Caenorhabditis elegans: one gene and its partners. The protein of the gene in region 1 purifies or fractionates together with the protein of each later gene. This does not show direct contact. Each region holds a gene or a part of one and is shown on either strand. Other genes may lie near its edges. The genes, in order: prp-8, mog-5, top-2 and ddx-23.

Region 1 (4,731 bases):
TTGAATGCACGCTGCGTGAGCATGTGTCTCTTGATACGAGACAAAGCTTCGTGAGGATTATCATAAGCCTGTTCAATTAAAGCCAGTTCTTCTCTTTGGGATTGATTCAATCTATTCTTCACACTGTAACTTTCCTTCAGTCTTTCAAGAGCCAAAATAAGAAGTTTTGTGTCGTGTTTGTAAGAAAGTGGTGGGAAAGGAATCGGAGAAAATCTTCTTGATTCCAGCCAATGTACTGTAGTCGTGTAAATTGCAACAGCTTCTTCTGCAGAGATATATGGTCCGTCCTTCAAGTAATTGTGTTGTCTTTCTTGCTCTGATTTCAGGTATAATCTTGTCAATCTACCCAAGTTCTTCTTGCACACAGTTTTGTCTACTGTCGCTCCTCGTCTTACACGTTCTCTGTTGTAATGTGCCGAATTAGTCCACCAATCAGCCTTTGCTTTCACATAACGTAGAATCATATTTTCAACTGGAGTTGGCAGTCCGGGAACCTTCCATGGAATATTAGCCTTCCAACATCTCCACGCCTCTGACAAATGCTGAAGAATAACACGAGCCTTATTTTGTTTGATTCCGTCCGGCATCATATCCAGAATGTCATGCATGACAGCAGCACTGAAAATATTAATAAATAAATTCGTTTTCTTGCCATTTAAAGCTTACCGTAATTCAAGATCGAAATGAGATTCAACTCTTTGCTTGGTGACTGTCTTGGCCACTCCCTTTGAATGTCTTCCTTCGAATTGTCGAGACAACAGATTTCCAAGCCATCTCTCGAGCAGTGGTGTGATTCCACGCAAGAAGAACAACCAAACTCTCCATCCCGGAGCCCAAAAACCACATCCAGGTCCTTTACCAACCGGCCCAGTGTTGAAACGATAGTAGATGAGATGCTTGAGATCCTTGCACATTCTGACTTGTCTCATGAGCTTGTACTTGTAACGATACATTCCGGTCAGTTGACCGACGTGAGCAAAGATATATTGTAGACCATCTGCAAGTTGGTACGCATCGACGTTGTTCAAACGATACTGAACATGGGCATCAACAACAAGTTTTGTGAGACGAAGGATTTCTCTGCACAAATGGAATGCATTTCCGAAACGAGATTTCTTTCTTTCCTTTGTTGTCAATGTTTTAACTGGTTTCAAATTGAAGTTGTAATCAAGATGAAGATAGTTGAGATTCTTTCGGTGAATGAGCAAATTGAGCATGTTGTATCCTTGACGAAGAACTTGCAATCCAGCTTCTACCCAATCCAGGGTGGTTGTTTGGAAGAATTTTGTTGCCTTGAAGGAACGGAACAGATAACGACGCTTCTGGGGCTTCGGTGGACGATGTTTGAGAGCGTTCAGAACAAACACCTTGAGCAGTTTCTGATAAGAAACACGAACTTTCACGGGCATTCCTGAAAAATTGAATATATTATTTCAGCTTAGTATGCGAGAAACGAAACGAAAAAAATAGAAACAAAACTAACCTGCTGGACAATGTTCTCTATACCACGATTTGACAAGTGGTACATCCACTGCTCTTCTCGTTCTTCCCGATCGAAGATTGAATGGCCGAGGGGCCCATAGAAGTGCTAAACCATTAGCCGTGTTATCGGTGTAGAGTGGAACGTCTTCAAAAATGGGTCGAACATCTTCAGGCAGCTCCCACTCGTCTTCCTCTTCACCTTCTGGTAGATTTTCTTCAGTCTGAAAATGTTTTGACATACAATACGAATTGTCTCCAGTTTTATTTCTAGATATCACCGACAAAAAGGATGATTTCTCGCCTTTAATGGAAAATTTATATTGCGAATTTCGGCTACTGACTACCTTGTAAATTTATAGGAATCTGTTTATAATATCCGCATTTTATTTTAAAACATTGCTGAAACTTGTAAATAACTCACTGCTTTCAAGTTGCTGAGAACGATTGGATTGATCAATGGATCATAGTAGAATGCGGGAAGATCTGGGTCTTCAGTTTTGATAAATACAACTGAAGGAGTATGATACCATGAAACTTGAACAGGCAGCGAGCTGATCAGATTGTTGTACATGAATGGGAATGCAATTCTGTACTCGGTACGAATTGGAGCTCGAATAATAACTTTATTGATATCATTGAACTCGTTCCAGTCTTCATCACTGAAAATAATAAAATAGTATGCGTCATAACACAACTGGAAGCTTTTCACTTACGTATGTAAATCTTTTACCAATGGTTCGAACTTCGGGCCTCCTGGAATTGCAACGTTGAGTGCTTTAGCAGTGAAGAAACTTTTCATGTCAAACAAGTAGAAGTAGTTATCATCTACTAAATCGGTAAGCAGCTGATTTGCAAGACGATACAATGTGGACATCTGTGGAATACTGAATGCCCATTTTCTGTACGTTGGGCCGTTCACAAATCGAGTTGTTGCAAGAGGCTTGTGATCGTAGAACCATTCAGCAACAGCTCCGTCTTCTTCTGGATCTAGTTCCATTTGAATTGGCTCTAAAGGCTCGACATCCAGAATATTATCAGCATAATCGAGAGGCGGTTCTTCATCGTCAAATGGAGGGAATCTCATTCGCTTGAAATGACGACGATCACGTTTTTCTCTTCTCATCATAATCCACATCGTTCCCCATTGTGCCATGTAGACCGGCTCGATGACACGCGGAATGTCGTTGACAAAAGTGATCGCACCGGTGATGTGATACAGAACTTTTACATCTCTGATTTGTTCCCAGGGCATCGGCATGTTCTCCAGTAGCTTCAAAACGGCATGTGGCATATATTTCAAAGCACCGAGGTAGACTCTTTTATCATGACGATATTTGCGAGAAGTCATATCACCATGATCTCTGATAACTTTTCGGACGTGCTCAGGTGGCATTTCTTCTTTCTGCGTATCGGACATTCCAAACTTCTTTTTCTCCGAATACCGCTTTCCTTGAAGTTGTTTCCATTTTCGAGACTTTTCTTCCAGAATTGAATCCGGGATAGCATGTGGTTCAGTTTGGGGATGACCGCCGTAGTTGGCCATACCTATAACACACTATATAAAAATAGAATTAAAACTAATCAATGAGTTGACGAGCAAGGAAAAATAAGTATTACTGTAGAGAAACTGGAAAGAGAGATTTGTCTTTGTTTAGACTGTAAGATCACATGAATTGATAGTTGGAATTGTGCATTACAGTTAATAGCGCACAAAATTTACATTAAAAAACGGAATTTATTCAGACTGAACCAGAAAATCATGAATAAAAACCGATAATTTCTATTTTCGAAAGTAAAATTTAAATTTCCTTAAATCTAAACAACGCGCGCAATTGTGTCGAGTGGAGCGTCGTACTTAGATCTGCAGGTGTTTGAGGTTACGGTGCCCGGTAATTCAAACACTCTTCGGCGTAATGTTTCGATCAATAGACCCGCCTCTTCTTGGCAGCCATTATTTGCGTTCGCGTTCGCCGCCGCCGAGGAAAGACATCTGCCCGAAAAAATTTATTGATTTTTCGAAAACTTATTGGCATTTTCTATTGCCCTCAGAATCTGAGTAAAGCTTCTGAATTGCAACTTTTCCTTTTTCAAGTCATGTGACTGGGGTAATATCATTTTTTCGAAACTGTTCCGAATTTTGTACAAATATCAATTTTTCGAAAAGGAAATTATTTCCAAACTGTCATTGTTACCCATTTTATATTGAAATGTACCACATTTATTCCTCATAGACGAGTTCATGAAGATCTCCTTTTGAAAACTTTAAAAACTGTCCAACTTAAAAAAAAGGTAGTATTTTCGAATATCAAACGGCGATTTCGTAATTTTAATACTTTTCTAATATGTGTAATTTTTCGTAGATCGGTTTCGAAAATCGTATTGCTTATTTCGTAACTCTAACAAAGAACTCCTGCTTTTCGTAAATAATTCATTCGCGGAGTTTCCCAGTTGTTGTGTCTTTTTGAATTTAATCATTTTCTTTTATTTTTATCGAGATTATCGGGAATAGCTTTCTTTTAATTGAATTTATTTTCAGAATAACCTCTTGCTCGCTCAACTTATCAACAGAGGTAAAACTTATTCGCAATATAATATGTCTTCACGTTCCTCGTGGTCATCCACGGAGCAGATTAATCGCACAATCAGTTCCAGAGGTTAGTGAGAATAGCTCAATTAATTTGAGAGTTTAACATTATTTTCATTTTCAGCTGACGATCTTCCTCCACAACCTCGCCGTCTAGAAGTAGTTTCGAAGCAAGCAACGCGTGTGACGGCACTTTCTACAAAATTGGAATGGAAAATCGAACAATTTGAGAAATTGATGAAACTAATCAAAAACGGTTCGAATCTTATTTCAAGAATGTTTAGTGTCCCTGATGCGCCAACAGTTTGCTGGGAACTTCATGTGTATCCAAATGGAAAGCGTGATGAAGATGTGAATAATGTATCGTTTTTCTTGAGACAAGTTGGATTAGCCGTAAGTTTCATTCATATTTTCTATATATAAAATATAAAAACCTTTTTCAGAGAGGAGAGGAGCCCATCATGACAGAATTTCAAATTTATGCTCTCGATGCTAATAATCAAAGAGTCAGTGTATGCAGAGATACCAAAGATTTCACAAACCAACAAGGGCGTGGAAAGTTCCAAGTTTCGCGTGATAAGATGCTTGGGGCACTTCGATCTGACGGAACTCTCTTTTTGATTTGTGAAGTTGAATACTTCCCTCCTGGATCAAAAATATCAGTT
Region 2 (7,996 bases), on another chromosome or scaffold:
AACAACGGATCGATTTTCTGGTTTCGTTTGAATGTTGATAATTTGGTAGAATCTCCGATTTTGAAGAATGACGGTGCAAATTCAACAAGCCATTTTGGATCGATTGCGGTGACCTGGAAATTGAAAATTAGGTTTTTATTTAATTTCTTATTTAGACTTAAATAGTTTTTGGCCCTAAATGAAAGAATAAAGTCTCCATATGCCAAATATGAATTTTAAAAATGTATATAATTTCTCTAAACTTTGTATTTTTTTTTCAAATTTTGAAAATATTTCAAAAGGGAGCATAATGGCCTAGTTTCGACATTTTTGTGTTTTCCGCCTACAGTACTTTTCCGTATATAAAATTGAAATAAACTTACTTCTCTCATATATTCCTTAGTTGTCATGACGAGTTCATGATATACAACCCATTCTGGTTGTTGTTGGAAACATGCTGATGATGGATGAATATAAACATTCTGTCCATCAGTCAATGTTCGATATCCTTCCTGTGGATCACGTTTTGCAGCATTTCGGAAGAATCCAGAGCAAATAGCCTTCTGAACTCTCGATACATCCCGTCCACAACTGACCATCAGAAGTTTATGACGATCCATGATTCCGAGTAATTGCTTACGAATGTCCTGAGCTCTCTTCATACTTCTCACTTGAATGAAATTTTCGAAACACCATGGTTGTGAGAAATGATGGTTTTTCCATGAATTGTAAACCGCTAGAAGTGTCAAATGATCTCCTTCTGGTTGATGGAATTTCGCCTTCTTCTGGTCAGCATGATCCTGTTTTTCTTTAGGTCGATAGAAAATGTTTTGCACATTGAGCATTGCCACAATCGTAAGAACTTCTTCTGAGCATCCCAGATCGACAGACATGATCAACAATTTGGAAAGTGATGGTTCCAATGGAAATTCAGCCATTCGACGACCAAGTTTCGTGAGAAGACCATCTCCATCAAGTGCTGAAAGCGTGTGAAGTGTATTGAGAGCAGTAATCATTGAATCCAGAGGTGGAGCATCCATGAAATCAAAATCAATCAAATTATTGATTCCCATAGCTTTAAGCTGAAGAAGTGTTGACGCCAAATTTGTTCGCTGAATTTCTGGAACAGGTGTCGGAAGCATCTCATCACGGAATGCACGTTCTGTGTAGAGACGATAGCATTTTCCAGGTCCCGTACGTCCTGCACGTCCTGATCGTTGCTTTGCTGCGGCTTGTGAGATTGGGGTGACAACCTGAAATTTATATTGTATTTTCGTTCTTATTTATCAGAAAATTGTTTTTTAATATCTCGAAAAAAATTATCTTATTTTGAGTAGCTAATAATTTTAATTCGTCTAATTGCAAACAATATTGAATTTTATTGCATCATTTTCAGTTTCTGGTGAAAACATTTTTTTTTCACTTTTTTTTCGAATCAAAATTTATGAAAAAAGGCGAAAAATGTATGATTCACTTTTTCGAAAAAAAATTTGTTAAAAAAAGGCGAAAAAATATTTATTCCACTTTTTTTCACAAAACATTACACTCAAAATTAAATATAACTCTACAAATATTTATTCTTGAAATAATAAGAATTTTCGTTTCAAACATTTCAAAAATATAAAATTTCAGTTTTTTCCTGTTTTTGGCGAAATAAATTGTTTCGCTTCGAACAAAATTTTTTTTCTTGTTTTTGGTCTCTCTGGTAAAAATGGATTTTTTTCTTCGTTTTTTTTAAGACAAAAACCAAAAAAAAAAAGTTTTTTTTAAAAAGAAATCCGAGTTTTTTTTGTTTTTGGCAAAATATTATTTTTTCGTTTTTCGTCTTCGAAAAAACTTGTTCTCCTGGTTTTTGAACTTTCTGGTAAAAATTGATTTTTTTTTTCGTTTTTTTAGCCGCTTTTCGTGTTTTTTGAAATTTTTTTTTCGTTTTTTGTCTTGTTTTTTGGTCGAATTTTTTCGTGAAATCCCTGACGGGTGCATAAATGCTTACCAAGGAATCCATTCCACTTTTCGGATTGTAAATCTTCTGTTTCACAAATCCTGGATCAACGACATAGAAAATTCCATCAATTGTCAAAGAAGTTTCGGCAATATTCGTAGCAATAACAACTTTTCGCTTTCCGGCAGGAGCTGGATCAAAGATTCTTGTTTGCATTTCACTTGGAAGAGCTCCGTAGACAGGAAGAATAATCAGCTCCGGCACATCAGGTCCCATTGATTTCATTCGTTCATATAAAACTTCACACGATGTATCAATTTCTTCTTGTCCAGTCAAAAACACAAGAACATCACCAGGTGGCTCAGTCAAATGAATTTGCATTACAGTAATATGTGCAGCTTCAAGGTAATCTGATTCTGGTTCTCTTGTGTACAGGATCTCAACGGGGAATGTTCTTCCAGGAATTGTAAAGATCGGAGCTTCCAGGAAATACTCTGAAAATTTAACTGAATCCAAGGTGGCACTAGTGATAATCAGCTTCAGTTCCGGACGTTTTCTAGCAGCAGCTTTCAATAATCCAAACAAGACATCCGTATGAATTGTACGTTCGTGAGCCTCATCAAGCATAATCAACGAATATCCAGAAAGATCAGGATCAATAAGACATTCTCTCAGAAGCATACCATCCGTCATGTACTTGATAATAGTATCTTGACTTGTACAATCTTCGAAACGAATTGTATATCCAACATCAGTTCCCAGCTTACAACCGTACTCTTCTGCCACACGCTTTGCTACGGACATTGCTGCAACACGACGAGGCTGGGTACATCCAATTTTACCACGTCTTCCAAGTCCAGCTTCAATTGCATATTGTGTCATCTGAGTAGTCTTTCCTGATCCAGTTTCTCCAACAACGACAAGAATTTGATTATCAATCATTGCTTCCATCAGATTCTTTTTCAACGCAAAGATCGGAAGACTTTCTCTCTGCTCAACCATACTCAAATTGGTTCTTCTTCCATAAGTCGCTTTTCCACCAGCTGTCACATGTTTCAACCATTCTGGCATTTCTTTCATTTTATTATTCCGATCCTTTGACTCATCAGCACTCCACGCAGTCGACTGATTTCCAGACATAGGATCAAGAATTCGAGCATTTGAACTGAATCCTTTCTGTGTATCCATATCACGCTCTCGTTGTGCTTGAATTTTCGTTTCTTTTCGTTCTTTTGAAAGAGCACCTTGCATTAAAGCTGCTTGAGCTAATGAACCATCCGGATTTTTGACAACTTTTACAGGTTCTATTTCTGCACCGCCTTTTCCATATCCACGTAAAAAGTCAGGTTCGTCTTCGACAAGCTCGATTTCAATATCCTCGCCATCACTTTCATCTGAAAATTGAAAAATTGTTGTGCTTTAAATGATAGAAACTTTATTTTAAATATTTAATGATTTTTTTTTAAATTTAGCTTTTTTAAAAATTGTCTTTGAATTATCGGGAAAATCATTTCCTTGTAATTTTTCGCATTTTCCTGCTAAATTCGAAATTTTTCCTTTGATATATGCAACTTTTGTCATATTTTGGCTTGTCTGTTGAAACTAAAAAATCGTCTTAAAAACGATAAATTAGTGTCGATTTTTGAGGAAAAATGTCTGCGTGCGCGAATTCAAAAACAATTTAGTCATTTTCAGGAAAAATTAATTTGTTTTAATTCAAAAAATTTTACAATTTTTCTTGATAAATTATTAAATCATAAATTTTATACCATCATTTTTTTCATGTTTTTTTTTCAATCTTGCTTAATTTTTAATTTTATTTGAATTCCCGGGAAAATTATTGCCGTAATTGTAAAGTATTCGCATTTTTCAGGCTAAATTCGATATTTATTCTCCGATGCATCTTTTGTCATACTTTGGCATTTTTCAGTAAAGAAAACCAAATTTAAATTTTGTTGAAAATAAAAAATCGGCTTAAAAACGATAAATTACTGTCAATTTTTAAGGAAAAATGTCTGTAAAACATCATTTTTAGTCATTTTCAAGAGAAATTGAAATTGTTTTCAATTAAAAAAATTTTGCAGTTTTTTTTTTAAATATAAATTATTTTTAAAAAATCATATACCGTATTTCCTCTATTAGTCTTGCATGCAAGACTAATTTTCGATTGACCCGTAGGGGTGCAAGACTAATAGAGACTGCAAGACTATTAGAGGCTGCAAGACTAATTTTCGAAGACCCGATAGATTTGTTCAATTGGCCATTTATCGTCACAAATTTGACTTGAAACAGTCTAAATCATGCAAAATACATACTTTTCTATTGTTTTATCAATTATTTTAACACTTTAAAATTTAATTTAGCTATAAAATGGCGAAATTGTTGAAGTTTTCACAAAATACTGCTGGTCTGGCAAGAATAGGGGTGCAAGACTAATACCGTATGTTCTCTATTAGTCTTGCATGCAATACTAATAGAGGCTGCAAGACTAATTTTAGATTGACCCGTAGGGGTGCAAGACTAATAGAGGAAATACGGTAAGCAAAATAAAGCACCATTTGCGCGGAATTCAAAAATAATTTAGTGATTTTCAAGAGAAAATAATTTTTTTTTCAAATTTATCATTAATTACTAGATCATAAATAAAATACTCACCATCATAATTTCTTAGAACTCCCATTTCTTCATCAAAATCAGGCATATCTGTGGCTGTGAGAACTCCGGCTCCTTGCATTTGTCTTAATTCCCACCGTTCAGGTGTCGAAATTCGAACTCTCGCCTTTCCACCACCAATTGAGGTCGAAGGACCTTGTCCTACTCCACTTGCTTCAGGATTCATCCACGAGGAAGTTGATGCTGGCGGTGTCCGTGGACGAACTCCGATTGCATCCGGATTCAGGTCGGTCTCGCGTGGATTCAAATCTTCTCCACTATTCTGATCGACTTCTTTCATTGACAACGAGATTTTTCCATTTTCAATCTTATTAACTTTAACTTTGACATTTTCTCCTCTTTTCAAAACATCTGCGACGGTTTGAACTCGTTCATTTCGAATTTGGGAGATGTGAACAAGTCCTTCTTGTTTTTGACGGAAACCTTCCAGTGTGATGAAAGCTCCGAACGATTGAATACTGTTTACACGACCATCGTAGATTTTTCCGATTTCTGCAACTTCGGATTTTCTAGCACCACCATCATCTCGTCGATCACGCCGATCTCTTTGTCTGTCGTCTCCTCTTCGATCCCCACGTCCTCTGTCTCTGTCTCTGTCCCGATCCCTCCTATCTCGATCTCTTCTGTCTTCACGACTCCTACTACGTCTCCGACGATCCCTGTCACCACTACGACTTCTTCTTCGTTTTCGATCACGACTCCTTGATCGACTTCTTGAACGGTTTCGTTTTGAATCTGATTCCTTTTGAAGACGTTTCTGTAAATGGAAAATTTATTTTAACAAATTTCAAATATCAAAGATACGTACCTCACTTTCATATCGGCCTTCCATCTTTTCTAACTGAGCCATAAGATCATCTTCATTATCTTCCTTTTCTTTCGCAGTATTTGCCATCGCTAGAGCTGGAAGTCGTGCTTTAATTTCTTCTTTTGCATCAGAAATCAATGTAATTTTGTGTGAATCCTTGATATCTTCTTTTGAATCACCACCTTTCTTGTTTTTCTTTTTAACAGCAGTCATGCTTTGTACTATACGAAGTATGGTCGCAGTGAGGGAATCATCAAACTGAAATTTAGAATTAAAGAGAGGAATATCGAGACTTTTATATTTATGAGACGAATAATGTTTTTTTTAAATCTCGATATTTGATATTCATCAAAATATTTTAAAACACCTTGAATTAAAATAATTTTGAAATTTCCTTTAAAAAAATAATTTAGTCGTTAAATTTTCTCATATTTCAACATACCTGATCCCCAAGTCCCTGACTATCCAAAGCCTTTTTCAGTTTATCAAATGTTGGATTCTCTTGAGCCAAATGAATAACAAACTCAGCGACATCTTTTTCGACGACACCAAAATGGTTCTCAACTTCACTGAGGACCTTGCTCACAAGTGAGAGGTGCTCAAGCTGGTCCATCCTGAAATTTACAGATAAAAAATTTAATAAAATAATTCTTTAAAGCAGTTTTAATTCCGAAAAACTCGAACAATAGAAAATTAGAGTAAAAAAACAAATTCGAAATCTAAAATAGTGGGCGTGGTCTTTCATGCAAACTGCGGCCCGCTTTTTCGCAATTGTGCCGCACAGTGTGCAGCTTTCTTTAATTATATTTTTTCAACAATTATTTTTTATTTTATTGAAGCTGCCGGCTTTCATTTCGTTTGTAAATATGTTTCATTGTGTTTTTTTGAATTTATTTTAGTATTTCCAAAAATGGATATATAAGTTTGTGTTAATGTAAAATCGTTATTGCAAATACCCTTTGCCTTCAAAGTTAACAAAAAACAAGGTCTTTTAAAGCATGATTTTAAATTTAAAAGCTGTTCAAAAACTGCAAATTTTCTAGATTTTCTTTGAATTGGTGCTTTTGAACGTTTCATAGTGACCAATGTGTCCCCAAGCATCCGAATGTCCCGTTTTCTGCGTCTCTTCACTTCCGTATAATCTCTAACCCGACTCACTGGTAAACATGCGCCATTCCTCCTCCGAACAACGACTAGTGAAAATCGATCAAAATTGTTTTCAAATTTATTATTAATGTTTCAATTTCAGAAAACAGTTAAACCTAAAAAATGGATTTCAATCGAAGCTTCACATCGAACCTCGGGAGCGCTGGAAGTGCTAAATCACAACAGGTTAGAGAACACAATTCGATTTTTTGTCTACCAAATAAATGTTAATGTGATAAGAAAACACTAGGGAACAGTAGCCAAATCAAATCATATGGTTCTGTTATCTTTTCTCTCGAAAAAACGTTTTTTTCACACATTTTCAATTTTTCAGAGTATGTTCAAAGCACTCCGCCGGCTTCATGGACAGAACTTGGAGAGCCGAGGGCTTCATGATATGACTGAAGCATTTCAGTCATTTGTCACAAGGGCACGGTTTTTCAGTATTGGAAAATTGAGGTAATATCAACATTTTAGCTCTGGTTTTTTCTAAATTAAAATTAAAATATTTTCAGGCGAACTTGGTCCCACTCTGCCGCAGAGTTTATGAAATATCGACGACTTTTACCAATGTTACTCGCCGATGGAGATGCATTTGATGGAGGAGAAACAGACGGTAATAAATCTTAAAATTTGGAAAAAAAATCAATAATTGTTTTTTTTTTCAGATTTCGATGCATCTATCGCTTTCCAACATACTTCTCGTGATGATCGAAAAATCGTGGTTTCGAATATTTCTGCTAAAGTCACCCAATCACAGCTTCAATCCTTCTTTTCTCAATATGGAAAAGTGTGTTGTTTTAATTATCATTTAAATATAAAATTTTAAAATTAAATTTCCAGATAACCAGCTGCATTCTGCCTCGCGAAGAGAAAAAGACATCAGTGTTCGGAACACTTCCAAAGCATTCCAGAAATTGTGGAACTGCTACTATTACTTTTAAGTATAATTTAAATTTTTTTGGTTTGTTCAGGTCTTTTTAATAATACAATTTTTGCAGAAAGTCTGAGCATGCTGATCGCGCGAAAAATGCGAATCCTGAAGAGTTGAAGTTTTATGATCAAGTTATGGTTGTCTCAGCTGTAAGTTTTTGATTTGGGATTTAATTTTTAAACCAATTTATCTTGTAGTATGTATCGAAAAAACGTGGAGGTAAAGGTCTCGTGCTCAGTGATGATGTTGGAAGTCGTGAAGATACTCCATTGTCCCGTGCTTCATCTACACAGTCGTTAGCTTCAGGATCCGAGCAATCATTCAATTTGGGAAACGTCCCGGATAAAATTCTTAGAAGGGTCATCTCATTTTTACCAATTCACGAAACAATTCGATTGGAACGAGTTAATAAAAAGTTCATGGAAGAATCAATTAAATCCTGGGAACTTGTCAATAAAATTGCATTGGCAAGAGAAACTGTATTCAACAAGCAACGACCAATGAGAACAAGTCA
Region 3 (7,816 bases), on another chromosome or scaffold:
TTTCACTCGATACCGCCATCGGCCAAACTTCTGAGAATCAACTTATTCAAATTTCGTTCCAGTATTCAGCTGCTCATGCACCATGTGCCACGCTGGATGTGCTCGTTAGTCATAATATCCTCCACAAAGCAAGGACTATGACTAGAGACACATTCAGCTTGGCGCCGAATGCATTTTATTTTTAAATTTTATCTTTAAAAGTTTCCCTAATTTCTACATTTTTCTTCAATATACAATTGATTCTTCTTATCTGACTACCAAATCATCTCGAGTCTCCAGTTCTCCCGGGGAGGCGATTCCATGTGTCTCTCTAAATCTCATTGTTCGCCTGAATGTCTAAAATGTTCGACCTCAAAAACGGTAGAGGCCCAAGGACACGCACACACAGTGTGTGATCGATAGGGGAATAGAAAACAGTAGGAACAAGACGTTGGATGCAACGAAGAAGGACACAGACCGTTTACGACTTGTCATCGTCATTTCTCAAGCGACACAAACGATGAAGACCTGCATATAGGTTGGAAGCTTTGGAAATATAGGCATTTTCATTGCAAGAAGACTCTTCTCAATAATTCTTGAGACTCACATAAATAGAAAAATAACTTTTAAAAACAGTGAAATTAGGTAGGGGTAAATAATTTAGGCATAAGGGCGATAATTATATTACAGCAGTTTCCCTCATGTAAAAATACAAACTTAATATACGGGATGATTTGGGGGAGGATGGGGATGGTTGAGATCGTTAAAACGATTTTAAAATGATTGGAAAGAAAATAAATTAGAAACACTTAAGGAAGGTGGGAAACAAATTAATTTAATCCGAGTCGGAGTCGACGACGCGTCCCCTCTTCTTCTTTGGCTGATCCGAATCGGATCCTGAATCCACGTCGTAAGTTGGTGGCGCCTTGCGAGCTCTTCCGCTGAAATAATTACATTTTTTAAAAATAATTTTCAAACTAACCTCTTCTCTCTTGGAGCCACAACGAAGCTTTCGTCGTCTTCATCATCGGAACCAGCGGCCTTCTTTCCGTTCTTCTTTGAAGCACCAAAGAAATCGGTCACCGCCTTCGACTTGGGCTCGGCCGTCTTCGGAGCAGCCTTCTTTGGAGACGGCTTTTTGCTGGTGGACGGCTTCTTCTCAGCTTCTTCATCACTGTCGCCGCCAGACAGATCGCTGAACTCGCTCTTTTTCTTCTTCGGAGCAGCTTTCTTCGCTGGAGCAGGCTTCTTTGCAGGAACTTCATCATCATCTGACAAATCGATAACTTCCGCTTTCGCAGCTCCTTTTCCAGTACGAGGTTTTGGCTTTGAGACGACATCCTCACGCTCCACACCGTCATCGTCCGAATCGAAATCGATTCCTTCCTGCAAAAAATATTTTAGAAGTTGAAGAAATTACAGAGGAAATCTTACATCGAACTCCACGTCACTTTCCTCTGACATGTCAGAGTTGAAGCCGTCGCTTTTCTCCTTCTTCGCAGTCTTCGGAGCAGCTGGAGACATGAACTTTTTAATGTCCTGGCCTTCCTTTTTCACCTTCTTTGGTTCTTTCGGCTCCTTTGGCTCTTTCTTGACGCGTTCCTTCTTTGGCTGAGACATCTTCTCATATTTGGCCTTGGTTGCAGCATCCAACATCGGCTCAATGCGCTGTCCATCTTTGGATGGAAGGACTTCCGTGCACACATTCTTCTTGGGTCCACGTCCGGTCTTTGCGTCGGCAGCAAGCTTTTTGGCGGCATTTTTGATGCTGGCATCTTGATCAGCTTTCTCGCGAGCCTCCTGTTTGTCCAACTCAGACACGAAGTTGTCCAGATCCTCATGCCAAAGATCTTGCCAGGTCTTCTTCTCGATAACTCGAACCTCAGCCATCTTCTCCTCCGATTCCTTGATGAGCTTATTCTTCTCTTCTTCCGAAAGCTTGATGAGAGCCATTCCGACAAGGTAATCGTAGTCTGATAGCTTGGTTTCAACGGCCTTCGCAGCAGAGGAAATGGCTTCGTCCTCTTCGACGGCGACAGCAGCTAGATCATCTTCGTCCAGCTCGATCTCTCCAGATTCACGAAGCTCTTTGAGTTTTTGCTCCTCCTTCCACTTCTTCACTGGATCAGCATCGAACTTCATCTTGATCAAAACATCGACAATCGCCGCCTTCTTCTTGTTCTCGAGAACAATCTCGTTGTTGATCTTGGCGAGGATGAAACGAGCCTGGTTAGTGAGACGCTTGCTCTGAGCCTGAAGAACTCCGAGAAGGTACTCCTTTCTCTGTACGTACTTCTCTTGGCGACTATCGTAGAACTCTTGAGTAATCGCTTCTGGCGAAGTGTATGTACGAAGACATCCGGCAGCATCGAAAAGTACCATGCACGTAGTGTTGATGACAGCTTGGAGCTTGAAGACTTGATGAAGATCCTGACCGCGCTCCAATTCACGAAGTTTTCCCGGCGAGAGCTTCACGACGAACTTGACAGTTGTATCTGTGTGATACTCTTTGTAGTCGACGATAACAGGCGATTTCTTGTCCGAGCTCTCCATCAATCCTTCCAAAACCTTCTCTTTGTAGTCTTGAGTCCACTGTTTGATTGGCAACTCGGTGATCTCAATGGTGTTGTCATCCAGCACAGCAACTTCACCATAGCATGCAAATCGACTCGGGTCGATTTGAATGATCTTTCCGCGGAAGTTCTTGTACCATGGAGCTAAGGCTTTCTGTGGCTCGCCGGCGATAAGACGCTTGATGTTCTTGACCAGTTCACGTGGATTGTAATTAGGAATGTTCGTGGACCATCCAGTACCGATGCCTTGAGCTCCATTGACGAGTACCATTGGAATAATCGGGCAATACCATTCTGGCTCAATACGCTGATTTTCTTCATAAAGGAAACGAAGGACATTGTCATCGTGAGCCGGGAAGAGTGTACGAGTGACTGGCGACAGTTGAGTGAAGATGTAACGAGCTGAAGCACTGTCCTTTCCACCTTGGAGACGAGTACCAAACTGTCCGATTGGAAGAAGCAGGTTGATGTTGTTGGAGCCAACGTAATCTTGAGCGAGATTCACAATTGTTCCCATAAGCGACTGTTCTCCGTGATGGTAAGCAGAAATTTCAGCGACAGCTCCAGCCAATTGAGCTACTTTGACTTCACGCTTGTCTGCTCTCTTGAAGCACGCGAAGAGAACCTTCCGCTGTCCTGGCTTGAAACCATCCACAAGGCATGGAATTGAACGCTCGTTGTCGAGATTCGAGAAGAGGACCAATTCACGATTGACGAAATCTTTGAAGGTGACGAATCGAGTGTCCTTGTTGTAGAGATATTCTTCAGCAAGTCCCTGCTGCTTTCGGTCCTTCTTCTCCCGCATCCACTTCGAGAGCCAGTCTTTTCTCTCTTCAATCTTCTTCTTCGAGAAAGCCATGTCGACAGCGTTATCATCATCAGCTCCATTGTACTTGAAGCGGATACGATGACGAACCATGTCCAAGAAGTATTCCTTAGCTTCCTTAGAAGTCGATGTACCCAATCCCTTGTAGTACTTGATCTTGTACGACTTCCAGTTATCCGTATTCATTCTCCACTCAGAATATTCTGGGAGCGAATAGAAGGAAACTTCTTCTTTTCCTTTGGTGGCTTTGACAATTGGAGTGATGAATTCTTCTACGAAGTTCCGCTGAATGAGAGAAGGCCAGAAGTGATGGATGAAATTGATCACGAGTCCTTTGATGTGTGAACCGTCTTGATCCTGATCAGCCATGACCATCAGTTTACCGTATCGAAGAGTCTTGAAGTCATCTTCTGTCTCGTACTTCTTCTTGTATTGGAGTCCCAGAATTTTGATCATGGCATTGACCTCAGCATTATCGGCGATTTGTTTCATATTTCCTTCTCGGACATTTAGCAATTTTCCTCGAAGTGGGAATACTCCATATTTGTCGCGTCCAACGACTGAAAGTCCCGAAACAGCAAGCGTTTTGGCCGAGTCTCCCTCCGTCAGAATTAATGTGCATTGTTGGGAATTTTTGGTTCCAGCGTCGTTGGCATCTTCAAGCTTTGGAATGCCCTGAAATAAATATTAATTAAAACAAGGCCACGAATTAGATGAATTGTTACCTTCAGCTTGGAAGTCTTCGTCTTGGAGCACTTTTTGTTGAGGTCGTCCATTTGTTTGAAGCGAACCCAACTCATAACAGCATCGGTGATTCCAACACTTGAAGCCGCTTTGGAGAACTTCTCGCTGAGGACGCAGGTCGATCCGAACTGCTTCTGCTGCAGGGTCATAGTCTCTTTCGTCTGGGAGTCGAATGTCGGATTTTCGATCAAGCAATTCACAAAAACCCACATGTGATTTTTGATCTGAAAATTTTGATATAAAATTGAATATTTGGAAAATTTATTAGATTTGAATTCGCATTAGCAATTCCTCGCCTCAGATTCGCCTTTTAGTAATCACAAATCATCGGAAAGTTTAAAAATGTTGCGCCGCGCCTTTAGACACTGGATAAAAACTTTCTCCAGCGTCACTAAAGCGTCGCAATTTTATTTTTCACTTGGTGCACCGATACTTCAAAAGAATCGGTGAAATCTCTAGAAAAACCTTGAAAATTTTCAGATTTCTCTTATTATCGAGTCACCAAAGAGTTCATATAGCTATTTTGAGTCATCATTGGCGGTAAATATTTTAAATTCGACGAAATTTACCTGGAATGGCTTGATATTCATCGACGTCTTTGTGAGCTTCCGCTTGATCGAGTCGATGAACTTGGCGACCATCTGATCAGCCACGTAGTCCACGTGCCGTCCTCCTTTTGTGGTAGCAATACTGTTGACAAATGACACTTGTTGGAAGCCTTTTTCCGAAAGAGCCAAGGCGACTTGCCAACGATCTCCAACTTGCTCGTATGCGATCTTGAGGGGTTCTCCTTCATTGTTGAACTGCGAAGTGTACATTTGGACGTAGTCCTCGAATCCTTTGATTGGAATTCGTTTTCCATTGAGGAACACGGCGACTCCTTTACTGGATCCAGCCACATCATACGCACGCCGAGCCATCAAATGGCAGATGTCATCGTCCAGCTCCTTCATCTTGAACTTTGCCAGATCCGGCGAGAATGTGATCTTCGTGAAGTCTTCGTCGGTGCTCTTAACAATCTTCGGCTCCTCATCACGCGTCATGTTTTTGATCCACGTTTGCTTGAATGCACTTTTGTAATCCCGTGAAGACGTCTCCAGAGTGAATTTTGTGGAGAAGATGTTGCAAAGCTTTGCTCCATATCCGTTGCGTCCTCCCGTCACTTTCTTCTCATCGTCATTGTAGTTAGAAGATGTTAGAAGAGTTCCAAAAATCAGCTCTGGGACGTAGACTTTCTCCACTTTGTGCTGAGTGACTGGGATTCCTTTGCCATTGTTGTAGACAGAGATCTCATTTTTCTCCCTGAAAGAAAGCAAAATTAAATTAAATTCCTTTATGCTACGGTCTAAACTTACTTATTGATGGTGATCTTGATTGTGTTCATCTTCGGATCTCTCTGTTTGTTGTCAGCGGCATTCACAAGAATTTCATCATAAATCTTGTAGAGTCCCGGCACGTATGAGATGTCACGCTGCTCCAGCTTGCTCTCCTCCATGTTGTAGACCCACATCGGCGTCTTCTCGGTATGCTCGACCGAACCGATGTAGGTGTCCGGGCGAAGAAGAATGTGCTCGAGTTGGGACTTCTTTTGGTAGATATCCTCGATCGCCATTTGTTTCGAGCCACCACCTTTTTTGTCGATCGACGTGAACACATTGCGGTCCTCTTCAGTCATAACCATCGACTCGTTGGCTGAAAAGAAGCAAATTAGATTCAAGAAACTCTACAAATTAACCAACCATCATCTTTCTTTTTCTTCGGTGACGCCTTCTCCTTCTTTGGTGCGGTTTTCTTCTTGGGTGAATCTTCGATAGAGAATTCACTATCAGAGTCGCTCATTGTTAGAGATCTGGAAAAAGATGACATTTAATTTTAGGACGATCGGGAGAAAGAGAGAAAGAAACGCGGTGAATATTCAATAAACTTGAGGATGCGAAGAAAAATGAGTGAAGAGAAAAAGAACTAGCACACCAGTGGACATCACTGGACACTGAACACTGAATCGATGCAAGACAGCCGGCTAGAGAGCGCACAAAAAAACAACTGAGCGCGCCAAAATGAGCGTCCGATTCGAAATTGGCGGCCTAAGAGCGTCGGGTCTCGCAGCGAACGCGCGAAAAATACACAGCTGAAACGAGTGTTACCGTAGTTGTAGCCTCGAAATACGAAATTTAGTTTTTGTGTCTGCGTCTCTTACGGAAATGCATTGCGAGATAGAAGTTGTGTAATTTTTTTGCGAAAAAATTCAAAAAAAGTAACTTTTTGTTCTAAATAATGTTTTATTTATTTTAGAGAGCTCAAAATGTGGATTGAGATTCGTAAATTTTACGAACTCATCGTCTCCTTCACAGCTTTCGATGACGACCGAAAAATAAACGAGCTGTTCAACGAAATCGAGAAATACAGATGGCGATTGAGCAATATTCTTTTGAATCCGGTATGTTTTCCGACTGATGTTAGTGTAATAAACCTTTCTAATTGAAGAGACGAACGGGTAAAGATCGGGAAAAGCTGAAGCCAGGAAATGTGGAAATGGCAGGAGTGGAAGTTGCGCTAGACGAGGAAATCTGTTCGGAAGCACTCATTTTGTCGGATATCTTTCAATTAAATGAGCTGGAAGCTGTGGATTTGATTTTGGCCGGAGAAGCTCAAAAAATACATTTCGAAGGCCTCAACAGAGGATTAATCGCTGTCGTTTGCTACTATGATGCGCACAGGCTCCTAATCGCAACAATGCGCCAAATGCTAAAATGGGACCGAGAGGATATTCCTCAACGTATCAGCAAGTTCCTCAATAGCACATTCATCAACGAGGACGTGATCAAAAACCTTTTTCGTGGGTTTTCAAAAAATTATATTATCATAAATATTACTAATTTTTTTTTCCAATTTTCAGAACAACTAATCAATTTCACCGTTCAATCAGAATTTGCACGACTTCAATCTCCAGATGTCAACGGTTTAGGAGGCTCTAAACATCAGAAATTGGTACCGAATTGATTATAATTTTGGAATTCTTTCATAAAATTAATTTCAGGTCAGAAATGCCATTGAGGAGATTCGAAGTGAAGTAATTGGTTGCATTTCGATGATCTGTGAGATTCCGGGAGGAAACGCAGTTTCGATTTCAAATCATTTATTCCAAATTGTAAAGGCAGTTCCACCGGAGAAGCTCAGTTGTAGTAGCTTGACAGCCTGGATTTCTCTCGTTAAAATCACATCGAGTGAAGTGTTGTCTCAAGGTAATATTTGAAGATGGAGTAGCGATTTTTCTGTTTTTCTTTTGTGGTTTTTCTGTATTCGAGAATATTTTCGATTTTCTAAAGCAATTCTCGCTACTCCATCTTCATGCCTATACCCAAAAATCCAGTTACAAATCTGTTTGAGAGTTTACAGTTCACGATGCTCAACAAGTGCTCACAAACATGATCGCCCACATTCGGAATGAAACAGACTGGTCGGATCAAGCAATGTGCGGAACTCTACAGCTAGCATGCGCTGTTGCTCTGAAATCGATTGCCTCATCGCCATCAGATCATCTAGGGATCGAGAATATCAAGGTGGACGTGGAAAGAGTCATCGATCGATCTATCCGGAATATGGCTTTTCATTACTTGCGACAAGCGATCATCAAGTCGGAACACTTCCGTTATGCCCATCAGTTTATGATTATTGATGAGCTTCTGAAACAGCT
Region 4 (6,746 bases), 2.3 Mb from region 1:
CAGTGAGTCTTTCCTCCGTGAAAAACCGTGGATTTGATCTTCAGGTTTACGAGACCTTTTGAGAGCATGTCGGCCCATTTTTTTTGACAACATTATGATTTTGTTAGGTTTTATTCCTTGGCGAAGGTTTTTTGGAAAAACGATTCGAACACGTCGACGAACTTCTTATTTTTATAATTATCTAACATGTACCCAACCTTTAAAGATTTATTTATTTATTTTCAGTTTTCCTTTTTTCACAATAACTAGTAAAACGTATTTCAAAATACTATTTTATTTTATTTTAAAAAAATTATGATCAGTGTGGAGTGAAATATTTCAGATTTTTAAACTTTCAATTTCGTTTCTTAAAATCGAAAAATTAATTATTTTGCTTCCTAACATGAGAATTCATTTAATTTGAATTTTTCCACGAGACTAGCTTTAAAACACACATTCTCCGAATAATGTGCTCTTGGAAATCCGACAGAGAGCAACTTTTCATGATCATTTTCCTATTCTGGAATTAATAATGAAATTTGAACGGAATGATGGGGTCAGGAGTATTTATTTAACAGATCTGGTAGAACAATCATATAAAAATTGAATAAATAAATATAAATGTTGAGATTTTCCAAACAAAAAAGAGAATTATCACTTCAAGAACAATGTTTCATCTTGTCGTTTCTTTGATGTAAACACTCCAGGCTTACTCTGTGCATCCGGATGATTCGCAAGTTCAGGTGGGCATGATGACACTGGCGATTCGACCAGAACCTGGAAAAAATACGAGTTAAAATATTTTTATTAAAAGTATTTATTGAGTGATACATTTTCTTTTGAAACTTTTGAAAAAAAAAACTTTCAAAAACGATTATCTTGGAATTAGACGGAAATTTTGAAAATTAAATTCAAAACATTCATTAACGACTTAATTAAAGGGCATCTCATCGAATTAACCTTATTCGAATAAATTTTTTTCGGAGTTGTTTCTTTTTTTCATTGTAATTTTAATTCGCTTGCAGTAACTACAGTAACCCAAAAGTGGATTTTTTTTTTCTAAATTGTTCAAGAACGCTTAAAATATTTTTTTTAAATATTTTATGAAACGATTAACTGATGTTTTCATTTTTAACTACTTATTTCATCGATTATCTTTCAGAAAACCGAATGCAAATCTTTTCTTTTTTGTTGATATTTGGACAAAAAATTAAATTTTTTTTGTTGGATTTTTTATCTTTAAAAAATTTTCATTTTTTCATTGTTCTTTAAAAATAAAAATTAAACTAAAGTCCTCAATTTTTCGTTTTTCTTGTTTAGTTTCTTCTTTAATTTTTCGCAAATTTCAATTTTTATTTTTCGACCTAAAATCAAAACAAAAATTTTTTGATTTTTAGGTCCAATATCATTTTTGGTGTCCGGTTTCCGTCACAATTTTTACCTGCTTCAAGTCGAAATAGACGGCAGTATCGTCAGGTGTGAGGAATGTGATTGCTTTTCCATGTTTACCAGCTCGACCTGAAATTTAAAAGAAATTATTATATGTGATCAAGAAGAAAAGTGTGGAAGTTTTCAGATGCTAGTAGCTTCAAAATTTATGAAAACTTCTACGCATTTTTTTTCATTTTTTAAAATTTTCTTTAAATAATTTCTTACTGCTCCGCTGTTCTTTATCTTTTTTCCGTTGTAATAAATCATACTATGTGGAGATAAATTTTAAAAAAATGATGTCCTCAAGAATCTCATATTTTCCCAAAACAGAAAATTACACTTCATCAAAAAATTTCCACAGAAAAAGTGAATAAAAACATACCAGTTCTACCAATTCTGTGAGTATAGTCTTCAATTGATTTTGCCATATCGTAGTTGAGTACCAGTGATACATCTTTGACGTCGATACCTGAAAATTAAGTGGATATTATTTTGATTTTCAAAACTTTGAATTTATAATTTTTTAGTTACATTTCGAATCAAACCTCTTCAATTAGTTTTTTTTTTAAATAGGGGAATCTCAAATTTTTGGGTTTTCATTCAGAAGAGTTTGAAACTTTCAAGAAACGTTATATACCGTATATTCTCTATTAGAGCGGCATGCCGCACTAATTTCCGGGCCCTTCGCGACGTGCGCTCTATTAGAGACTGCCGTTCTACTGGATACTGCCGCACTAATTTTCGATAACTAATTTTCATATTGAAGTTACTACTGTTGGGAGTAGTAACCTCAAAATTTCCTTATAAAACCTCATATTTTATGGAAAAATTCGTGAAAATTGTGTAATTTTGCCTCACAAAGACACTAAAATTCAATATTTAAATGAAAATTTATGAATTCATTCAAGAATGAACAAAAATATCTTCGAAGAAATCGAATAATTGAGGTGGCTCTCGCACCCAAAAAAAGGGGTGCCACACTAATAGAGACTGCCGCTCTAATTTTCGAAGAGCCAGTTAGGGTGCCGCTCTAATAGATACGCCGTACTATTAGATACGCCGCTCTAATAGAGAATATACGGTATATATATACTTGAAAAAAGTATTTGAATCAACAATTTTTTTCCAAAAAAAAAAACGAACCTCTTCCAGCAACATCAGTAGCCACAAGAATATCACTCGTTCCTTCTTTAAGAGCCTGCAGAGCGTATTCTCTTTGATCTTGACCTTTTCCTCCGTGAAGAACTGTTGGCTTGAAACCAAGTTTGGTAAGACCTTTTGAGAGCATATCAGCACCTTTCTTCTGATTGACAAAAATAATAATCGGTGGTTGGAATTGTGATTCGAGCACTTCGACGAGCTTCTTACGTTTACGATCCTCTGGAACCATGTAGACTACCTGAATACGAAATATTTTGGAATTTTTAAAAAACTTGAAATTTTTTTGAAATTTCTTACTAAAAAATACTAGCCTCTGAAAAAAGACACTGAAAACAGAATTCCCCCTTTCTGCGTGGTTTCAATCCAGAGATGGGACTTTTTTTTGGCATTTTTTGGTAATTTGACGAAAAATTAATTTTTTGATTTTATTTTTTAGAAAACCAACAAAAAACCAAACAATTTTTCACTTTTTTCAGTTAAAAAACAATTTTTTGGGTGTTCTTAATTAGTTTTTAGCAAATTTTAGTTAACAACTTTTATGAAGCTACTTTAGGAAGCTGCCTTAGTTCTAGTAATTTTTCTAGTTCAGCTTAATGTCGAAATATGAAAAACGATTCTCATAATTATTTTTCTTTTCTACCAAGAATAAAATAAATTACCTGTTCAACTCTTTCTGTAGGCTTTCCAGCAGATCCAATATGTACAACTGCTGGTCTTCTGAGATATTGTCTGGCAAGTCTTTCGATAGCTGAAGACATTGTAGCTGTGAACATGACAGTTTGTCGATATTTCTCTCTTGTTGAGAATCCCTTCATCAAAGCTTCTTCATTATCGAATTCATCCGTATCTTTCTTCATATTTGTATCTGGCATGTACTCCAGAACCTTCTGAACATCTGGTTCAAATCCCATGTCAAGCATTCGATCAGCTTCGTCAAGGATCACATAGGTACACTGATTCAGGAGAAGATATCGATTTTCCAGAACATCGAGAAGACGACCTGGTGTTGCAATGACCACTTCAACACCCATTCGAAGCTTCATTCCTTGATCTTCTCTGCTGGCTCCTCCGATTACTGAAACGGTCTTGATACCGAGAAGCTTTCCGAACTTGTTGGTTTCCTCTTCAATCTGCTGAGCCAATTCTCTTGTTGGAGCCATAATAATAGCATATGGACCCAAGTCCCGATGTTCTTGTCGTTCCATTTTTGGAAGGCTTGTGATCCATACAAGCAGCGGTAGAAGGAAAGCTGCAGTTTTTCCTGATCCAGTTTCAGCTACACCGATTACGTCACGATTCTGAAGACCAATTGGGATGGCTTGTCTCTGAATAGGTGTAGGTTCCAGATAACCAATTTCTTTGACAGCTTGGTAGACTTCATCTGGAAATCCAGCTTCTTCCCAATTACGAAGAGGTCGTGGAACTCTGCCTCCTTTAATAGAAATATTGAAATCTTCACGGAAGATACGCCAATCTCTGTCAGACATCTCAGAAAGTTCTTTCATTCTCCAATGACGATCATCATGAGCCACTTTCTTTTCTTTTTTCAGTTCTTTTTCAAGGCGATGCATCTCTTGCTCTTTCTCATCAACAGTTCTTCGATTTTCCATCATTTCCTGGTAGAACGAGTTCTTCTCTTTTTTCTGAGCATTCACATCCGTTCCAGCAACAGATCCTCTTCCAAAGAACTGAATTTCATGTCGACTTTGATATAATTTGTTATAATCCTGTGATGTATCCTCTCCAGCATCCCAATCAAAAACAAACTTTTTCTCATGAAGTCTCCGTCCTCTTTTCTTCTTTTCCTTCTGTTTTCCAAGATATCTGTCTTTAACAGCATCTGCCATTTTACTAACATCTTCTTCATTATCACTATCCTCGTTTCTATCTCTTTTCCGATCATCATTTCGATCCCTTCTATCTCTACTTCTACTTCTATCTCGACGCCTTCCACCATCACGATCACGGCTCCTGCTCCTTCGTCGTCTATCTCGAGAACCACTTCTCTCCCGACGATCCCGTCGACGATCACGATCACGTTCCCGTTCACGGTCTCTGTCACGATCATTGCCTCGGTCAAGTCCACGATCTCTTCTATCGTCTGATGTTTTTTCGGTGCGTCCCCAATTTTTTCGAGCTTCTTCAGCTTGTTTTTGTGTTTCACGCAGTTTTGCGACCTCCTCTTCTCTTCGTTTCAGAGCCAATGCGGCCCGCTCGGCTTTTGACAGAAATTTTGGCTGAAAATTTGAAAATGGTTTGGTTTTTAAAAAATATGCGATGTTTTTTGAGATATTAAAAAATAATACATACCTTTGCCAATTCATCTTCTTCTCTTTTCTTCTTTTCCAGAAGTTCCTCAAGTGATGGAGGTTCAGCAGCCATTTCTCTGGAATTTAAGAACTTAAATGTTTGGAAAACTAATTAAAAATATGCTTTTACAATGGGAAAATGTAAAAAAACCAATTTTTAACATAAACCTACAGAAATGCATTCACCCTTTTCGTATATAATACACGCGACCGAGGTGGTATTTGTTAGGCCGCGCTCTCTTAGCGGGACATTCGAAAATGTCAATTCTCCGAATATCATATTAATTTTCTATAGAAATAAAGCTTCGCGCACATACACAACCGGAAACCAATCATAATAATATTAAAAGCAAGAAGCCTTTATTGCGCAAAATCAAAAAGGAACGTGCATGAAAAAATCAACAAATTCTCAAATGAAAAGCAATAAATTTTGATGAAAATTTAAGAAATTGGGGGATAATAAAGAAAAAGAAAACAGATCGATCTTTGTTGATTATCGCTCGAAGAAAGCTATAAAAACAAACGGTAAAGTTGGGCTTGTTGAACGGGATGGGGAATATTATCAAACACGGCAACAGATCATAGAAACGGACACACTGGGGGGAATAGAAAAACAATTTTAATATTTATTCTGGTTGTGGCTGCTTCAAGTTGGTCATACCAGCGCGCATCACTTCATCAACAAGCAAGAGATTGCATGCAAGTACTGTCGCCGACGAGATACTGTTCTTCTTCACCGTCACATTGTCCCAAATTCCTTGTGGCTCGACAGCTCCTCCGGTTTCGAGATCGAGTCCAACGGCGATATCTGGTCCAGCGGCGGTTTTCTCCTCAATAAGCTTAACAAGTGTTTCCTGAGCATCATATCCTCCATTTACGGCCAGTGTCTTTGGAATAACGAGAAGAGCTTGAGCAAACGCTTCAGCTCCGAGCTTGGCACGTCCCTTCAGGTTCTCAACATCTTTTTTCAACATCACGTAGGCAGCAATTTCGAAAGCAGCAGCTCCAGGGAGAACAGCCTCTGAAAATAGGTTACTAGAACAGAAGTTAATAAAATTTAAACTCACTGTCAACGATGGTGTTGAAAACAGCACGAAGTCCATCATGAATAGCATCCTTGATTTGAGTGATGGTATGCTTGTTTGGTCCCTTGATAAGAAGAGTCACAGATTTTGGAGCACGGCATTCCTCGATAAACGTGTATTTCTCTTCTCCAAGGGAATGCTCGTAAACGAGTCCAGCCCATCCAAGATCCTCTGGAGTCAAATCATCAACTGAGTTGACGGCTTCTCCTCCGACGGCCAGCTGAAGACGTTCCATGTTACGTCTCTTGGCACGACGAAGAGCAAGAATTCCTTCGGAAGCAAGCAAGTCAAGAGATGGAGGATCGATTCCTTTCTGGTTGATAACAACGAATCCCTTATTCTTACCATCTGGAGAATTATCAATAACCTTCTTCTTCAACTCAATAATCTTGTGAACACGACGAGTAATGAATTCACGTTCGGCAGCGAGAAGTGCCTCACGTTCCTTGGCGGTCTTGTAGAAAAGTCCCGAGTTGACTTCAGTCTTCTCGTATTCCAAAGAAACGTTGCAAGTGAGAATGTAAGCGTCTTTAACGTGTCTTGGCATATCTGGGTGACGAGCTCCATGATCGAGAACTAATCCACGAACAAGTGTGGTATCCATATCACTGTCGTGGTGCATTTCCATCTTTTCAACCATATGAAGATCTGGTTCCTCTCCATCACGACGGATTGCCAAAACGGCGTCGACAACGCATCTGAAATTAAGAAGATAATGTTTTTTACTACTTTTTAATTGTTTGTTTCTTACTCGGTGATGTGATCAGCAAGTTTCTGATGA

The links.
Region 2: the proteins of prp-8 (region 1) and mog-5 fractionate together in Caenorhabditis elegans (co-fractionation; one large-scale study listed by BioGRID). This does not show direct contact.
Region 3: the proteins of prp-8 (region 1) and top-2 fractionate together in Caenorhabditis elegans (co-fractionation; one large-scale study listed by BioGRID). This does not show direct contact.
Region 4: the proteins of prp-8 (region 1) and ddx-23 fractionate together in Caenorhabditis elegans (co-fractionation; one large-scale study listed by BioGRID). This does not show direct contact.

What each region holds. Positions count from the first base shown.
Region 1 is NC_003281.10:8,162,671-8,167,401, reverse strand, and holds the start of prp-8 (Pre-mRNA-splicing factor 8 homolog), read right to left. Parts: upstream 3,030-4,731; 5' UTR 3,026-3,029; coding exon 2,196-3,025; intron 2,142-2,195; coding exon 1,904-2,141; intron 1,863-1,903; exon of another isoform or gene 1,730-1,862; intron 1,704-1,729; coding exon 1,484-1,703; intron 1,412-1,483; coding exon 667-1,411; intron 619-666; coding exon 1-618. Other genes in the region: bath-42 (BTB and MATH domain-containing protein 42), read left to right, coding at 4,076-4,136, 4,191-4,459, 4,510-4,731. UniProt on the Caenorhabditis elegans protein: Functions as a scaffold that mediates the ordered assembly of spliceosomal proteins and snRNAs. Required for the assembly of the U4/U6-U5 tri-snRNP complex.
Region 2 is NC_003280.10:5,397,558-5,405,553, reverse strand, and holds the start of mog-5 (putative pre-mRNA-splicing factor ATP-dependent RNA helicase mog-5), read right to left. Parts: upstream 6,017-7,996; 5' UTR 6,016-6,016; coding exon 5,845-6,015; intron 5,661-5,844; coding exon 5,403-5,660; intron 5,352-5,402; coding exon 4,577-5,351; intron 3,316-4,576; coding exon 1,973-3,315; intron 1,233-1,972; coding exon 363-1,232; intron 114-362; coding exon 1-113. Other genes in the region: fbxl-3 (Putative RNA-binding protein EEED8.10), read left to right, coding at 6,672-6,734, 6,883-7,007, 7,064-7,164, 7,217-7,338, 7,392-7,492, 7,550-7,631, 7,680-7,996.
Region 3 is NC_003280.10:11,873,302-11,881,117, reverse strand, and holds top-2 (DNA topoisomerase 2 top-2), read right to left. Parts: upstream 5,971-7,816; 5' UTR 5,962-5,970; coding exon 5,862-5,961; intron 5,815-5,861; coding exon 5,478-5,814; intron 5,425-5,477; coding exon 4,692-5,424; intron 4,659-4,691; exon of another isoform or gene 4,564-4,658; intron 4,563-4,563; exon of another isoform or gene 4,502-4,562; intron 4,488-4,501; exon of another isoform or gene 4,416-4,487; intron 4,347-4,415; coding exon 4,104-4,346; intron 4,054-4,103; coding exon 1,414-4,053; intron 1,366-1,413; coding exon 962-1,365; intron 921-961; coding exon 815-920; 3' UTR 530-814; downstream 1-529. Other genes in the region: npp-3 (Nuclear Pore complex Protein), read left to right, coding at 6,425-6,559, 6,607-6,958, 7,019-7,110, 7,160-7,364, 7,519-7,816. UniProt on the Caenorhabditis elegans protein: Control of topological states of DNA by transient breakage and subsequent rejoining of DNA strands. Topoisomerase II makes double-strand breaks.
Region 4 is NC_003281.10:5,848,311-5,855,056, forward strand, and holds ddx-23 (putative ATP-dependent RNA helicase DDX23), read right to left. Parts: upstream 4,960-6,746; 5' UTR 4,954-4,959; coding exon 4,882-4,953; intron 4,809-4,881; coding exon 3,231-4,808; intron 2,810-3,230; coding exon 2,554-2,809; intron 1,880-2,553; coding exon 1,793-1,879; intron 1,498-1,792; coding exon 1,421-1,497; intron 757-1,420; coding exon 634-756; 3' UTR 528-633; downstream 1-527. Other genes in the region: cct-6 (T-complex protein 1 subunit zeta), read right to left, coding at 5,507-5,901, 5,948-6,663, 6,717-6,746.